4 linked regions of the Caenorhabditis elegans genome follow. The protein of the gene in region 2 purifies or fractionates together with the protein of the main gene of each other region. This does not show direct contact. Each region holds a gene or a part of one and is shown on either strand. Other genes may lie near its edges.

Region 1 (4,066 bases), on a different chromosome or scaffold from region 2:
TCAGAATTTGGTACAACTATCACAAGCGCAGTATTAAAACTGGTTTTGTCTAAAACACTGTACATAAAGTGACATTCAGATGTGTATGTGCGTGATTTCCTGCAAAAATTGTATACCTGAATGTAACGCAAGCAGACCAGCTAACACTTTGCATAGCGCATCGTTTCCTGATCGAATAATAATGATTCACACCTATTATCTATTATCCGCGGTTAGTTGGTGAAAGGAGATGAGGGGATTCTTGGCAAATTCTCGTTTCCGACCAATTCGCAGTCTTTATCGTCTTCCACAATTTCTTAGTATTATTCGTTTTTTGCCCTGCGTGTCGGCCCACCATTCATTTGCCCTTCCACAATATCTTTCGTCACACTTTTCTGTCCAAGCGTGAACCTTTGCTATTCAAGTGCACTCAAGCGAATTGCCAGCATTACAGAAAGTGTATAAAATGATTATAAAGACGGGTGTGAAAACTGTGTATTCGCAAGATGAAAAAGTGTGGACTTTTGGTTAAAGCTAGTGGAAATTTTTATTTATGTTTTAATCGTTCAATGACTCATTTTTCTTATCAAGGGGTTTTTGCAAGATTATATAAGTTTATGATTTTTTTTCATTAAAGTTCATTTTTTAAATTGCGCAAACATGATTGATACGTGAAAAAATGAAAAGATATATTTTTTAATTTTGCTTTACAAAATTGTATTTCGGGGGGCGGATAGCTCAGTCGGTAGTGGTGACCGCTAGAAATCTGGAGGTCATAAGTTCAAGTCCGGCCTCACCCCCTAGGTTCACCCAGCCACTATTGGGCTTAATGGTATTATGCCTATCATAATTTGTAGTCCACAAAAAAATCTTTGTTTGCCAAACTTCATTAGCTCGAATGCTCTTGCGACCACTGTTAAAACATTAATTCGTCCAAAGTAGTTTAAGAGTTATTCTATATGCCGGCGGTATTATTTTTCCACTAAGTTTCCCAAATATTCTATAGTTGAGAACCGAAGTATTATAAAATTACAAATAACTGTTGCGTTATTTCTGACATTGTTTCTGTAGTTTTTGAGATTTTTTGCCCACAAACTCCATCATTCATTTAGGTCTCCATTCTTACAAACAACATTTTGAAGTCGATTTGAAAAGATAGTCACATGAACACTGATTTTGTAAAGCGTCACAAATATTTCCCTTCTCAAACACACCTAGTACACACCATTAAAAGTTCCACATTAGTTCTTGTTCTCGTAACTAGTTTTCTTTTGTGAAATTCCAGAGGAATCAAATTTTATGACAAGTTGAAAAATTAGGGCGGACGACGACGAGGTGAACACTAAATCAAAGACCATTGGAATCTTCAATGTTCTCCTGGTCAGTCATCGTAGAACATTTCGCTTCCTTATTTCAGTTTATTTTTCCTTGTGGTCTCTGCCATAGTCCCGTTTTGATTGAAAGTCTAGGTCCTTCAACAATGCATATCATACCCGATTCTCTTTTTTCATGCTTAGACAGATCTCTAAGCTTACGTAACAGGTTCCTTCCATTCGTATCGTTTTGCCCCATTTGACGATTTTTCTTTTTCACAGCTACTTTCTTGCCGCATTTGCATTAAATGCTAAACTAAGATTGATTCAAATATTAGATATGAAGATGTTTCGATGATGGAACTATTTGAATTCAGTGACTTCTGTGACTTTTTCTATACTGTTCTTGTAACTTTCTGTAAATTTTTACATAAACGGTATCTTACAGATTTGTCATGATTACAAACTGCCTGATATTACTGGCAATTTTGTTTGGATTTGCATCGACTCAGTATCTGAACTTAAACCTTCATAGACATCAAAGTTGTGCATGGAGAAAAAGTAATTATTAAACTATCGTTGTCACTTTTTTAATACTTTACGTGTTACAGGTTCTCACTGGAACCGCAAAATCGAGTTCCAGGGTGGCCACTCGGATAGTGGAGCGCTACTCAAGTCAACTGAACAGAAAGGGTGCTATGCAATTAGTGTGAGTTAGCCCCCAAGAGTGTTTTATTTTGATTTTTGAAAAACAATAACAATGCTTGATGATTGACGTTATTACAATAATAATAATAATTCATTTTCTTTAGGGAAAAGTGAAAATTCATGAGGATGTGAGCGACGAGTTGTTGATCTACTTGTCCGTGTCGACCACTGGTGACACTCAAAGACCACCGGAAGTGTGCAGGGATGCCAATCCGGACACTGGTTGTGGAGGTGTTGGATCATGGTAATGAGTTATTGACAGAAATATTAGGGAAATCATCAAGATTCTAGAGCTAGAAAAAACATTAGGAAATGAAAAAAAAGCCTTTTGAGCAGTTAATGATAGATGAACAGCTGTGAAGTACCTAAAAGTTTTAAGTTAGAGGTCACTCTTAAAACAAAAAGTATAACTATAACAATTTCATACATAAGTGTTTAACCTGCAAAATAAATTAAAAAAAAAGAACTGAAGAGAGTGGGATTCGAACCCACGCCCCCGAAGGGACTGGTGCCTTAAACCAGCGCCTTAGACCGCTCGGCCATCTCTCCACGTACTACGCTATCATAATTTGTCGTTATGTTATAACTTCAAACAACAAGATTTAGTTGTATTTCGATGATTACGAAATTTAAATTTTCGAACTTGAAAATTTGTTGTTTTGTTGTTTCCAAAAAATGACGTAAACACTGCTGTTTCAGTCTCTACTGCCGGCCATGTGATTCTTTGGACTCTCTCACGAAAATTCTCGGAGCTCAACTTGTTGTGAACGGCAAACCAGCAGGATGTGAGCCATTAAAAGTGAGCAACATCGTTAAAAAAAATTTACGATGCAGTCAATAACACTATTTTTAGAAAGGAGAATATGATAATGTTGAACTCCGTTTCTGCCTTCCGAAATTAGCTGCATTGTTGGAATGGCAGGGAATTTCAGAAGACGCGTTAGATCACATTTTAGCTGCTACTACTCAGGTTTGACAAAATGAAAATAATTATTGAAAGAAAAAGTGTGTTTCAGGAAGGAAATGGTCCACCAAAGCTTAGTCTATTTGTGACCGTTTATTTGTTCGACAAGGATATTAAACCTCTTCTAGTGTAAGTTCTGAAAATTAAATAGGTTTTAGCCAGATTTACAGTTTCATATACCATCTAACAACCATTCACTATATTCGAGACATATATGTCACATACATTACAGCTATATGAAAAATAACACTATTTTTCACGAGTAGAAAATTTTTAAACAAATAGAAAAATGAAATAATTTCAGCTCTCAACGAAAACTAGAATCTCGCATCCGTGAACTTCGCAAACTTGGCGCTGATGAGCCAGTTGACTCTCAAACTTATTGGAATCTGCCATTCAATCAAATTATCAAAAAGCAGTCAGTTTTCGTTGGATGTCACAAACTTTACGGAACCATTAGCTTGAGCGACATTCAAGCCAAGAAGAAATAAGAAAATATATTTGGATGAACAACGATGATAACTTCATGTTTATTCATTTCGTTTATGCGGGTTCATTTTTTGTGAATTATGAAATAAACACAATAAAAATTATGAATTAGATAAGCAAATTGATCTTGACATTTAATAAATAACAGTCAATCTTTATGGTGATACTGTGCTCAAAGACTCGTTGTGTAAAAAACAACAGTTTTGTCTGGTATCCTTTTGAGTATGTTTTTTTACATTTCTTCAATATGCATTTTATTCAATACAACCTCAATATTTTGCTAGCCTCAAAATGTTTCTGGGATTTTGTTCAAAGTATTCTGTATACCCTTTACTTCTAGAATTTTTATTCTTGTGTATACAACAGTACACGAATTCTACAGAAAAATCTTGCAAAGTTACTAATAGTAAGGAAAACTGGAACTATATATGTTGTTGGTTAGAGATCATAAAGTGATATTTATGTAACACATCTGTAAAACTTTATTGCATTTGTTCTCACTACTAGTTGAAGGACATAAGGCTTTTGATTCATTATTTTCCTTTTTTTTTACTTTTTTCCCCTTTCCTTTTCTTTTAATCTCTTCATCTTTTCAGAATCTCATAACCTTCAT
Region 2 (6,620 bases):
AATCGATAAAAACCGCTGAAAATACATACAAAAAAGGCGCTTAGTGCGCGTGTGTGCAAAAATGCTCTATAGACAAAAAATGCGAGAAAATATTTCTTTTCAAAAGAGAAAAGTAAATACTTTTTTCATAAACTTTCACTGCAATGGTAAATAAACTAGTCACTAAAAGGAAATGAAATAAGTTTTTTCAATAGCTAATCACTCTACCAATTTTTTTCAAAACTTTTTGCGAATATATAGCTTTTAATAACTTTTAATAATAAGGAAATAGTAAAAGATCGATAAAAATCCAGTTCGGCAAAACGTGTTGTTGAAACGATTGATTGTGTAATATAAGACCACATTGAATTGTATACAAATTGTAAATTATTGATTTTTGTGGAAATGTAAACATTGTACTACATTTGTTACATGAAACTTTTTTTGGTCTCGCGTAACAAATACTATACATTAATCCTATAATTCGAAAAAAATAAATCATACTTCCGAATCAAACGGCATTGCGAAAGCGTCAGCAAGAAAAATAGAAATGAATCTCATTCATTTTCAGAAAAAAATAATAACGATCAACGTGAAACGAGAGAAGAAATGAGACAATGACGCGATTTAGAAAAAAAAATTAATTCGATAAAATGAAAATAGAGGTATTTAAGTAAGCAATCGAAAGATGAATAACTCCATAGTGACAGACTTTTCTTGAATTTACAATCAAAAGGCAAAAGATAAGTGAATAAAAAGCAATCTATATTCCAAACCGTGAACGTTTATATATGACAAAAATGCAGGCTTCTAGTGAAGTTTTGATTGATTTGATGAAAATCACTCTGATCAAGCAGCCGACATTAATTGTCAGATTATTCCCATTTAAATGGAGGTAAATAGTACAGAAAACATTGAGTATCGAATCAAATGGGGAACGGGGGTGATAATTATGAGATGTAAAAGATGGGAAACAACTGAAAGAATAATAGGAAATGAAAACAATAATAGCACATGATGATTTCACAGAAAACTCATTGATCTTTTTCATCTACTGCATCGCTAATCTGACGTTCGATCAATGCAGCCATATCCTCGAACTCATCGTCATCATCAGATTCCGGTACTTCCTCATCTTCATTGTCTTCGTCATCTTCTTCTTCATCTATATTAGCTGGTGCGTGGCCTTTCTGTAAAAGTCTTTTTTTTTCAAAACACTTTTGATCTCCCAAGCAGGAATAATGATTCACGTGTTTCTTTGAATTTTTGTTTAATATCGATAAAATGTCGTATTTTTCGATAAATTCTAGACACTGGAACGATTTGGATTGATATTTTTAAGCTCAAGAAGCCAAAATTTAACTTTTTTCAAAAAATTCACTACTATTAATTTTAGCCACTATAAATTCAAAACTTTCCGTTTTATTTTCAATTTTTTATACTTGCCGCCCTTTTTACCTCATCATCAACATCAAATACTGCATCATCCTCGTTTTCTGGAACAATTCGACCTTTTTTGCGTGAATCTGACAAAAGTGCTTTGTACGACATAGGGGTATCGTCATCCTCATTATCAGAATCTGATTCCTGAAATAAATATTATTGGAATAAATTATTTTCAAGTTTCTTACCTCTTCCTCGTCCTCCATTTCAGGACAATGCTTTCTTTTCTGTCCCCTTGATGTAGAATCTGTCTCGTTTTCCAAAGCATCTCCTGATTGATTCTCAACAGATCCATTCTGCTCAACATCATCCATTTCTTCTTCATTTTTCTCTTGTTTCTCTTCTAAATTTTCATCTCCCTTATCTTCTCCAACATCATTCCCATCATCATCCTCATCCTCATTGTCTCCATCGTCTTCATCATCCGATAGAGCTTCATCTACTTCATTATTCATATCAGCTAACGCGGCTTTCCCAATTGTGTCCATATTTGCCAAATCATTGACATACTTTGATCCAAGTGGACGTCCAACTGGAGGAGTACTTTCTTTTGTTAGTTGAAACAGATTTTCATCTGCTTTAAGCCACTTTTCGACACAAGCATATACCCATTGAACTGTGACCACAAACTTATTGAGACGATTGGCTTGATAAACTTTTCTGAAAATAAAAGAATTTTAAAATGCTAAAATGATAAAACTAACTGTGTTCCATATCTTGCTCCAACAACATGAGTAACATCATCAGTCACATCTGGTACAATAACTGCTCCAAATTGAGTACACAAACGATAAATATCAGTTCTTTCAAGCTTTTCACCCATTGGTACGATTCCCGAAAAAACAATGACACATCCATCAAGAACTTTGTGTCGTTCCTCTTTGATCACTTCCTGAAAATCAACTTCTAGAAGTCCAAAAGACTTAAATATTCAACTTAGAATAATAATTCAATAACTAAATATTTAAAATGAAAATTTACCTTTACATCAAGCAACACTTCCTCGGATCCTCTTAAATCGTGCTTTTCATAATATTTATCATGAATATTCGTTAAAACTCGCTCAATTTCTTCAAGAACCTTATCCTCATGAGCATCATCTTCAATTTGAACTGGCATTTGTTCTTTTGAGTTTTTTGGAGCATTAATGTCGCCGACTTCTTTGAAGAATCGATAAGGTTTGATTTGAATAAGTGCTTCAGAATACATCCAGACATCTGATCGATCATCAATAATCACTACAAGATTGTCGCCACATGGGAATAGAGCCTGAATAAAAATTGTTGTGTTTAACACTTATTCTATGATGTTAAAAAAAAACCAAATTTCATGGTAACACTTTTTAAAAATTTGAAATTTTCATTAACAGTCGAAAAATTGATGAAAACTCATTTTTCATTCATCACAATTCTGATCGATTAATATTTTCTACGAGTTTCATGTTTTCAGGGCTGAAGATTTCTTGTTTTTCGCTTTAAAAAAAATGGTGTTTTTTTTTGACAAAAAATGTACTTTCCGTTTTTTTATATTAAAGAGCAAAAAAACGAAGAATTTGTAAAAAACTTTTAAATGACTTTAAAATTATAGTTTTTAGTTTTTCGCTTTTTTCGTGATTTTTGCGAATTTTGGGCAAACTCCATTGGAGTTTGAAATTATTTTTATTTTTAATTTTTAAAAATTATACCTTCAAATTATTGGTCTTGTGTTGAGCCGAGAATAGTTCATCTCGAGACAAAATGCGTTGTTCAAAGAGTCGAGCATCTGGATCAAGAATCTGAGCAATACGATGAGCATATTGACGTTGTCCATAGGTAACAATGTGCATTTCATACATATTTGACATTTTATTCAAGAATTCTGTTGTATGTGGTCGGAGTTTAGTGGTATAAACACGAGAGTGAAGGTTATATTTGGTGATGTCTTTGTGCTGAAATTTATAGAAAATATATGAGTATTCCTATCAAGAGTGACAATTTTTCGATAATTTTAGAAAATCAAAAAACACAATTTTTTTGTACCAAAATTAAATTAGAAAAAAGGTTTCTCGGAAAATAATTTAAAGTTTTTGTCGATTTTTCTTATTACGATAAGAAAATTATGCTTTTCTAACTTTATCATTTACATAGAAGCTCGATGAGAAATTTTTTTTGAAATCTTTATTAATTTTCTGAAAAGTGTTTTTTTTTTCGAAAAATGGCTTTACATTTTGGCCATTTTTTTTCTAGAAGAAAATTATATGGTTGTTTGAAATTATTTGTTTTCATCGACACGACCAAAATTCGTTAAATTTGTGTTTTAATTTTTTGCTAATTTTCGGAACATTTTTTTTCAATTTTTCAGTTTTCTCTGAGAAAAACTGAAAAAAAACTTTTTTTTCGTCAAAACTATTGATTCTTACATTTTCAGTATCCACAGTCATTGGTTTGTCGGAAGTGTGAATAATTGTCTGATCCAAATCAACAAGCAATACGAGTTTTCTATTGGTGATCAGATTGTTTTCATCGGCTGATCCAATCTCTTTTGCTAGCTGAAAAAAAAGTTTTTTATCGAAATATTATTTGCCTAGTAGGCGAATTTTTGAGCCAAAAATGCGGTTCACGGTCTCAACACGACAATTTTTGATAAATGCAAAAATATGTTCGTCTTTAAAAAGAACTGTAATATTATGGGATTTTCATGAAGTTTTCTATTTTTCTCAAAATCGTATACTTTACTTAAAAATAGTTTAAACTTGCTTTATTTTAAAGTTTTAATTAACTTTCGAAAAACGATGAAAATTCTGCATTAGCTATTTAAAGGCGCACAACGTTTTGCGAGACCGGTTACCGTATTTTTATTGAAAAAATCGCCGCATCCGGGTAATAAAAATGATGCTAACCGTATCCGACACAATAAGTTCTGGAACATGATGAATCATAGATACATTAGCCGTTGATTGTTCCTTTCTCTGACCGGCTCGTCCTCCCTTTTCACGTAGATCTTTACCACATGTTGCACACATATCTTTGATAACAATTGCATGAGTACATTCGGATACTGTAGCAATCACTTGACCCTGAAAATGAAAACAGTTTCAATTGAATAAATAATTTCAATTTACCTTATTCAATACGATTCCTGGTTTAAGACCTTTTCCAAAAGTAACTACACCCTCACATGGTGTCTTTATCTTTCCCGCCACTTTTCCGTTGATTTTGAATTCTATCAGAACGTGATCTTTCAATACAAAACTTCCTTCACTGGCCTTTTTCAGGCCAGCTGTGCACTCGGCATCGTTTCCTTCAAATTTAATATCCATCTGGAAAAGAATATTTATATCTTTTCAATTAAGATATCAAATTCGACTGTTATTGAATTATTAAATGTTATTTAAAAGTAAAATTTTTCAACAATTTTGTGTTCATCATCTAAAATACATATGTACGCATTCTCTCCAAAACTTTTTTTTCAATTTTCGATTTTATTACCAAAAGGTTAATTTCGGCGCTTTTTTTGAAATCGAATCTGTAAAATTAGCCATTCTGATATTATTTGCGGCAAATTCAGGACCGAGAAATTTTGGGATAAAAATAAGAAAAAAGGTAAAAATAGAGTAAAAATAAAACGGAATTTTTATTCCAACAGGAACAAGAAAAGTGAAAAAAAAACAGAATAATTCCACAGATGGGACGAAAAATGAATAAAAATGGAAGCGTTTTTAGAAAAAAAAAATAATGGTGAAAAAAGAGAATCAAAGTCACAGTAGATGTGGTTCCCTCTAAGAAGAACTAGAAAAATAGGGGGGAATATGAGAAAAACGAATAATAGGATGGAACATAATTAATAACTCAAATATAGATACAAAAATGATTACAAAAGATCAAATTTAATCTTGGTACTCTTGTGTTTGACATCTACACTCTCCTTTGGAACTTTTCGAGACGAAGATTTCTGAAATATCTAAGATTAAAATTCTTCAAAAACAACAAAAATTACCTTCTCCTTTTCCCCAATGCTCTCCACGTCAGTTTCGTCCTTCTTCCGGCGATCCCGCTTCGACCGCTAAAATTTTTAAATTATATATTTTTTGATTAATTGAATTTTAGTGAAATATTTGTGAATAAAACGTACTTCTTCATCTTCTTGTTCCTTGGTTGATGATGAGGACGAGTATTGACGAACTCTGATGTTTGTCGTTGGTTTGCTCGAAGCAACAGTAAACGAGACAGGTTTTCGTTCAAGTGATGGAGCAGTAGTAGTTCTAGAGCTTGAAGAAGTGGATGAGTCAGCTTTCTGCATACGCTCATGAACCGATTTTCGTGGTTTCTCAGACTCTTTCTCAACGATTTTCCGCTTCTCTTTGCGATCCTTCTCGTGTTCCTTTTCCACTTCCTTCTCGCGTTGTTTCTCTTTTTCATTATCCCGATCACTCTCCTTTCTTTTACTCTTCTCCTTTTCATAGTCATCCTTCCTGCGTTCCCTGTCCCGTTCATAATCTTTCCGATCGTCACGCTTCTTGTCTTCACGCTTCACCTTTGTCTTGGGGGCCTGCAATTTCTATAAAAATTTGTTCATTTTTCCTAAACCCGGAAGATGATTTCTGATTGCTAAATTTTTCCTCAAAACAATCAACAATTAAAACAACTAATCTAAAAATAAGAATAAACCAAAACTTACATCACTGTCATATGCCTCGGTCTCTCGATCTCGCTTTCTCTCTTTCTTTCTATCTTGCTCATCAATTTTTTGAGAATCTCTTTCATGCCGACGTTCCTTACGATCATCCTCATCATCATGTCTACGGTCTTTCCTGTCTCTCCGATCGGATTCCTTAGGAAGCTCCTCTTTTCTATCCTCGAAGATGTCCTCTTCATCCTCATTCCATTTTCCTTTCTTCTTTTCTTTTTTGTCAGCAAAATTTTTGTCCAACTCCACTTTGTCCTCATCATCTAGAGATCTTGGCTCTTTTCTATTAGAATCCTCATCTTTATCATCCTGATACTTTCTTTCCTTCTTTTTTTCTTTCTTTTCGGTATCAAGATCATCCTCATCCTCATCTCTCTTCTCCTTCTTTGACTTTTTCTCTTTTTTGTGCTTCTTGTGCTTCTTCCGTTTTCGTTCCTCATCCTCATCACCGTCTTCCTCTTTCCGATGATGTTTCTTGTTCTTTTTACTTTTTTTGTGTTTCTTCATTTTCTTGGAACTTTCGTCATCTTCAT
Region 3 (3,125 bases), on a different chromosome or scaffold from region 2:
AATCTTTAATAAATATTATGGTCCTTTACTACGCGCTTATTCTTTGATTAAAGTACATTTTCGGTCAGTGGGTCACAAAAATGTACCTTTTATTGGTCCCCCCAATCGATTTTTTCACAGAAAAAAAATGATAAATTTCACTGTTTTTGAGCCAGAAATACGATTTTTTGAGTAAAAAACGTTGAAATTAAGAGTTTTCAGTGAAACTTCACGCTTCTTATCGCATTTTTCCATTTTTGAAGTCAAATTCGTTCTGAGATCGGGTTTTTTACCCGAAAATTCGCGTTTTTCTCGGAAAATGGCTGAAAATTCGGCGTTTATCGCTGAAAAATGAGGTTTTTAGAGGTTTTTAGCATATTAGTATTTTCAAGCTAATTTCGACCGGAAACTCGATTTTCCTCCACAAACTTCTTGGTTTCCTATCCACCAAGCTGTTACGGGGTTCCCTAGTGAAATAGAGATAATTGATATAAAATTGCGACTAAACGCACAAATCAATATTAATCAGATCGAGAATAAAGTCGATATTCATAGTAAATATAACGAAAACAAAAAATCTAACAAAAAAAAAGAAATACTACATGCTAATAACGAGATTTTTCTTATTTTTTCGTGGATTTCTGCCCGGGTGCCGACCAAAACTTCATATACTCCGACTCATCGAAGGTGTCATCGATAACTTCCTGAAAAAACCATTTTTAATTTGAAATCGTTAATTATATAATTACTGTTTTTGTGATCTTGGCTTTTGGTTTACGAGCAGCCAGCCGTTGTCGTCGTTCATCCTCGCTCAACTGTTTGAGGTCGACGGCAGATTGGAATGTCTGAAAATATGTACAATTAAAAAACTGATTAAATATAAAAACTGCAATTAAATATGTATTTTTCAAAAAGCAACCTGTCTCGGTTCAGCGGCGGGAACCATGATTGTCGAACCATCCGGACGGATAAATTTAACTTGGTACCGATGCAAGTAGTCTCGACGGCTGATTTTTCCCAAACTTGCTCTCCACGCATTATTTCTCTCTGAAAATGTGAAATTCACGCGGGAATAGTGATTTTGATTTAGGGAGAGGAAGGGGGAAATGGTTTATAAAAAGTCTGATTTTGAGGAGAAATGAATGGAAATAATAGTAATTGCAATTTTCACATGAAAAATGTTGTACGAAAAATGTTCTGCCACGTTTTTTTTTTGAAAATAACCTTCAAATGATATTTTTCGACCTTTTTCCTTTACTAACCTGCTGTGATGGCTTTTGAGCAGCTTGTTAGCAAGTTTCGCATGGAAATTTGAGTGTTCATCTGCAAAAACATTTAGAAATTCAAGAAAAATCACAGGAATACACTGAAAAATCAATAAGTTTTAATAAAGACGTGTATTTTTGACTTATTCGAGAGGAGTGCACAAACAAATTCTCAGCGGAGCGCGTTTGCGGCGCTCACTTTTCGTGTCACTTACGCGGCAAATGCAAATAAAATTAAAATAAGAAATGAGAAAAATGCGAGAAATTATTGAAAAAGATAAAGGAACTGATTCGAAACGGTAAACAAACTTTATAGTATATATAAAGTTTATACACGGCCTCCTGCGGGTGAAACGCGCAAGCAAGTCGCTCTCGTCATCTTTCACCTCTCACTTGCGCACGCTCTTTCGCTCAAAACGTGAAAAGCGGCGAAAAACGGAAGATTTTGAACAAAGCTTCAAATTCTTGCTAATTTACGTTTGAAAAAAATATTAAAATTGAATGAAAAATGGATTGTTCAATAAGATTTTCAATAACAATTTTAATTTTTGTAGTTCAATATACCAGAAATCACGATAAATATTATTTAAACGTGCGTAACTTTGCGAATAAGAAATAAAACAGGAAGCAGTCAATTATGAAAATAATATTTGAACAATTTTGAACATTTCATTAGTTTAGCGTTTTTTGATTCCGTCACTGGTTACTGAGTTATGATCTATAACAGCTAGCGAGGTTATATCAAGGAATTTAACTTGTACGTTTTCCAAAAGAGCATAGCTCTCTCGTGAGCATAGATATCAAAAAACTTTTAGCCGAAGAAATGCTCAGCATACAAAACACTACAATTCTTGATTTTACTTTTTTTAATTCTTTTATTATTTAAAAAGATATACGCACTTAAAAACACAAGTACTACGTTTTTGATAAAATCCCATTGCGCATACATTACCACTGTTGTAACTACTCAATGGCTTCACTTACGAAAAAGTTCTTAACTGAGAAATGTTGGCTACATTATCAACTTTAGTTTTCTAGTTGAAAAGTTTTTCATATCTTCCATAGTTTTCAAGATGCTGCTTACTGAAGACAAACTACAGTATAAAAAGTTGGAATAGGTTTTGTTTTTTTGGGTCTCCTCTTCCAATTTAGCGCATTTCACGCGCAGGACGCCGTATTGAAAGTTGAGTTTCCGCTTACCATTTGATTAAAAGCCCGCAAGTTTCCGTGAATTTACGTGTATTTATTGCACACGGTGTTTGTGGATTTTGAAGCTACAGTAACTAAATTATCGGGGAATTTTGACCTTTAATAAAGTTTTCGATTTTTTTGGAAAATTGAAAAAAGTGGCCAACTATGATCCGCCTATTATTCACAAATGTTAAATAAGTGTGTGGGGATCAGGGGTGTGGGGCAAATTTACCAAATTTACCGCAAACATCAAAAATTGACAATACAATTTTAGCCGAAACTATTGATTTTGTCCTCAAAAATTTTGTAAAATGGCACAAAATTGAGCTGTTTTGATGTTGAAGAAGACACACTACACGGAACTTGTTTGGAAACCAGATGTGTGTTAAGAATTCAGTAGTTTTGGTGCTCTAAAGACTTTGAAAAATATAACATTTTAGGAGTTTGTTAAGCTCGGCAAATTTACCGAACTTGCCGAATTTGTCGTGCACTGTAAATTTGGCCAACTGGCTATACCAGTTAATTCAAATCTTGCGTTTTCAACTCGACTTGAGTATTTTAAAGTCGATGGACGAAGAGATTTTGTAAATTATAACTTTTTAACTTTTTTTTGACCATAACTTTTTTTGAGAAGTTTTACAGAAGGGTCAGTATGAAATTCAGCGTTTTCAGACAATTTTTAGTCTCATA
Region 4 (2,962 bases), 2.2 Mb from region 2:
GAACCTGTAATCGAACATTCAGCTGAAGAAAGCGTTCATATTGAACCACCAAATGTCACTGAAATAAGGGAGGTGGTACCACAAATTACCATTCAGCCTACTCGTCAAGACAGCGTCGTTCAACGGGATGCAGAAGAGTTAGACACTTCAGCAGTTCCAAGCCCCCAACCGGAATCAATCCTAGATGAGCCCGAAGAAGAAGAAGAAGAACTTAGCAATCATGAAAATCATGCCGATCAATCGATGGATGTAATGGAAGTAGATCAGGAAGTACCCGAGGAAAGTCCCATGGAAGTCGGTGAGCAAGAAGAAATTGAGCAACCATCTGTATTCAAGGACATTCTAGCCACGGAGCAGGCTGCACTCTCCCAGGAACAAGAACCAGAGATCGTTGAGAAGCAGGCAGACAATGATGTTCAGTTTGTTGATGGTAAGTGTTTTACTTGGCAATAAACATTGAGTTATTCATTTCGCAGATCAACAAGTGGGAGCACAACTAGATGTAGAAGACGAAGAAGAAGTGATGAGCGAAAACGGTTCCAACAAAAGCAATAACTTCTCTTTTAACTTTTTTGGGAATAGCAAGGGTACATCAGCGGGAGAAGGTGGCGGTGAAGGCAGTAAGTTATGAAACACGTGAAATTAAAAAAAACTCCATTTTTATAGACTTCGACTTTAATTTTGACGGAATTGGAGCAGGAGATGATGGTTCGAACAATGGTGGTTCTACTGGAGATCTGGATTTCCTTAACTATGACGGAGAGGATGAAGGAAAGGGTTCGGGAAACACTCAATCCGATCCGTTCGGATTTGCATCAAATGGTAACGCAGCTGGTGGAGGTGGAGATGGATCGTTCAACTTTAACTTTGACGGTGACGGTGAAGGCGGAGCAACTTCTGGAGCGGGCGGAAACAGCACCTCGTTCTTTAACTTTTAGAAAATTATCATGTATTATTCAGCTCTTGTATCATTTGTATCGTTTAATGTCAGAAATTTTAGATTTTATTGGACCAAGAAATTGCCTCTTTTTTTTCTTTTTGAACAGCAAAAATATACATAATATAAAGTATTGATCATCTCATTGCGTTTTATTCTTTTTCACTTTAATGCTTTAAATGTATAGCTATTTAAATAATATTTATTCTGAAACAAACTCAAGTTCGCTTATGTTCGCAAAATTTTTGCTCGTAAAATCAGCAGCATTCGACGCAATGAACGATGCTCCGGTATAACGCTAACGAGCTTTGTTTAGCCATTGGAATTTTATTCGAAAAACGAAAATTGTCCTGTCAAATTTAGTGATTTTCATGTTTTTTTCCTTCAATTCTTTCCCACCAATTTGAATATGAGACATTGCAGCAATCTCCCTTCTGATTATTCAATTTAAATTGTTGGTATACCATAGTTTATGTTTTTCCTGTTAACCTCAATGTTTATTATTAATTAAAAGAGGTTGTTATATGTTCAAAGTTACACTTAAAATTGTGATGAGACTAAGACGAATTGTTCTTTATTTTTCAACCTTTAATGTCGGCGGAAAACTTTTTAAAAGTAGTTTATTGCAGAGACTAACAGTAATAATGGCTGACGACGAGCTTGAGACCTATAGATTGTGGAGAATCCGTAAAACAGTTCTTCAGGTAAACAAAATTTGGTATTTGCCATGATAATATGTTCATATTTAGATGGTTCACGATCGTGGTTATCTCGTAGCTCAAGATGAATTAGATCAACCATTGGAAACATTCAAAGTGCAGTACGGAGATCGTCCCTCTGAAAAAAAGCCGGCTCGCTCAGATCTGACAATTCTCGTGGCTCACAACGACGATCCAGCCGATCAAATGTTTGTTTTCTTCCCAGAGGACGCCAAAATTGGAATCAAAACTATTAAAGCTATCTGCCAGCAAATGCAAGAACAGAATATCTCCCGTGCTATCATTGTCGTACAAACCGGAATGACTCCAAGCGCCAAACAATCCATTGGCGACATGGCCCCAAAGTACATGTTGGAGCACTTTTTAGAGGCTGAGCTCATGGTAAACATCACAGAACATGAGTTGGTACCAGAACATGTCGTCATGACAGCCGAAGAGAAAGCAGAACTACTTGCTAGATAGTAAGTCTTCATATTAAAACATGATTATAAATATGATATTTTCAGCAAACTTAAGGATTCTCAGTTGCCACGTATCCAACAATGTGATCCGGTCGCTCGTTATTTTGGTCTCCGCCGTGGACAAGTTGTCAAAATCATTCGGCCATCGGAAACTGCTGGAAGATATATCACTTATCGTCTTGTGGTCTAAATCTTTTCTAAACCCCCTTGAACGTTGATCTTGGCCCAAAAATTTTCTGATTTTGGGTACCTTTGTTATTTTATTTTTTGTTTTTCCCGTTATTAAACCTATTTCTCTTGTATTTCAATTAAATCTTATTGGAAAATCGGTAGAATCCAATGCGACTTAAATATATACACAAGTTCAATTTTTTTAAGTATCTTAAAAAGTAGAACAGAAAAATTCGTTTAGTATTCCGAAATGAGCACAGATGTGGAAGCGGCGCGACGAAAATATGAGGACCGCCGGCGAAAAATTCAAGAGGAAGAAATGAAAGAACGCAGAGACGGCATGAATTTATCTTCTGGAGATGATGATCAAGACGTGGATGATATGTTTCTGACTGCATTACAGAGAAAACGAGAAAAAGTATTTGTGTAGATTAGTATTTTAAGAATTAAAAATTAAACTTTAGGTACATCGTCGAGCCCTACTGAAGCAAGTACTGGCTCCGACAATGAATCAAAAAGAAGAAATTGAAAGAAAACGAAAGAAAAAGGAAGAGGATAAGCAAAGTGAAGAAGCGAGAAAAACACTTTTGGAGAAACATGCTGAGATTATGGAGACACAAGGAGGTTATTTATTTAAAATAAGTTTATAAAATTAATGGACATTAATTGGGAAT

The links.
Region 1: the proteins of fcp-1 (region 2) and gmap-2 fractionate together in Caenorhabditis elegans (co-fractionation; one large-scale study listed by BioGRID). This does not show direct contact.
Region 3: the proteins of fcp-1 (region 2) and mrpl-55 fractionate together in Caenorhabditis elegans (co-fractionation; one large-scale study listed by BioGRID). This does not show direct contact.
Region 4: the proteins of fcp-1 (region 2) and rpb-5 fractionate together in Caenorhabditis elegans (co-fractionation; one large-scale study listed by BioGRID). This does not show direct contact.

What each region holds. Positions count from the first base shown.
Region 1 is NC_003284.9:12,940,941-12,945,006, reverse strand, and holds gmap-2 (GM2 Activator Protein family member), read left to right. Parts: upstream 1-1,740; 5' UTR 1,741-1,747; coding exon 1,748-1,853; intron 1,854-1,903; coding exon 1,904-2,001; intron 2,002-2,104; coding exon 2,105-2,244; intron 2,245-2,467; exon of another isoform or gene 2,468-2,549; intron 2,550-2,699; coding exon 2,700-2,799; intron 2,800-2,853; coding exon 2,854-2,970; intron 2,971-3,016; coding exon 3,017-3,093; intron 3,094-3,268; coding exon 3,269-3,455; 3' UTR 3,456-3,565; downstream 3,566-4,066.
Region 2 is NC_003279.8:9,003,989-9,010,608, forward strand, and holds fcp-1 (RNA polymerase II subunit A C-terminal domain phosphatase), read right to left. Parts: upstream 4,721-6,620; coding exon 4,523-4,720; intron 4,478-4,522; coding exon 4,301-4,477; intron 3,950-4,300; coding exon 3,821-3,949; intron 3,350-3,820; coding exon 3,107-3,349; intron 2,692-3,106; coding exon 2,404-2,691; intron 2,315-2,403; coding exon 2,127-2,314; intron 2,083-2,126; coding exon 1,611-2,082; intron 1,567-1,610; coding exon 1,438-1,566; intron 1,170-1,437; coding exon 1,014-1,169; 3' UTR 525-1,013; downstream 1-524. Other genes in the region: rbpl-1 (E3 ubiquitin-protein ligase RBBP6), read right to left, coding at 5,272-5,352, 5,398-5,463, 5,533-5,958, 6,079-6,620. UniProt on the Caenorhabditis elegans protein: During the late stages of oogenesis, dephosphorylates 'Ser-5' of the heptad repeats YSPTSPS in the C-terminal domain of the largest RNA polymerase II subunit ama-1.
Region 3 is NC_003282.8:442,174-445,298, reverse strand, and holds mrpl-55 (39S ribosomal protein L55, mitochondrial), read right to left. Parts: upstream 1,315-3,125; coding exon 1,242-1,314; intron 1,027-1,241; coding exon 899-1,026; intron 825-898; coding exon 729-824; intron 684-728; coding exon 603-683; 3' UTR 513-602; downstream 1-512.
Region 4 is NC_003279.8:6,848,843-6,851,804, forward strand, and holds rpb-5 (DNA-directed RNA polymerases I, II, and III subunit RPABC1), read left to right. Parts: upstream 1-1,566; 5' UTR 1,567-1,581; coding exon 1,582-1,641; intron 1,642-1,686; coding exon 1,687-2,117; intron 2,118-2,162; coding exon 2,163-2,307; 3' UTR 2,308-2,411; downstream 2,412-2,962. Other genes in the region: syp-4 (Synaptonemal complex protein 4), read left to right, coding at 1-430, 477-620, 667-938; sacy-1 (RNA helicase), read left to right, coding at 2,539-2,706, 2,753-2,912. UniProt on the Caenorhabditis elegans protein: DNA-dependent RNA polymerase catalyzes the transcription of DNA into RNA using the four ribonucleoside triphosphates as substrates.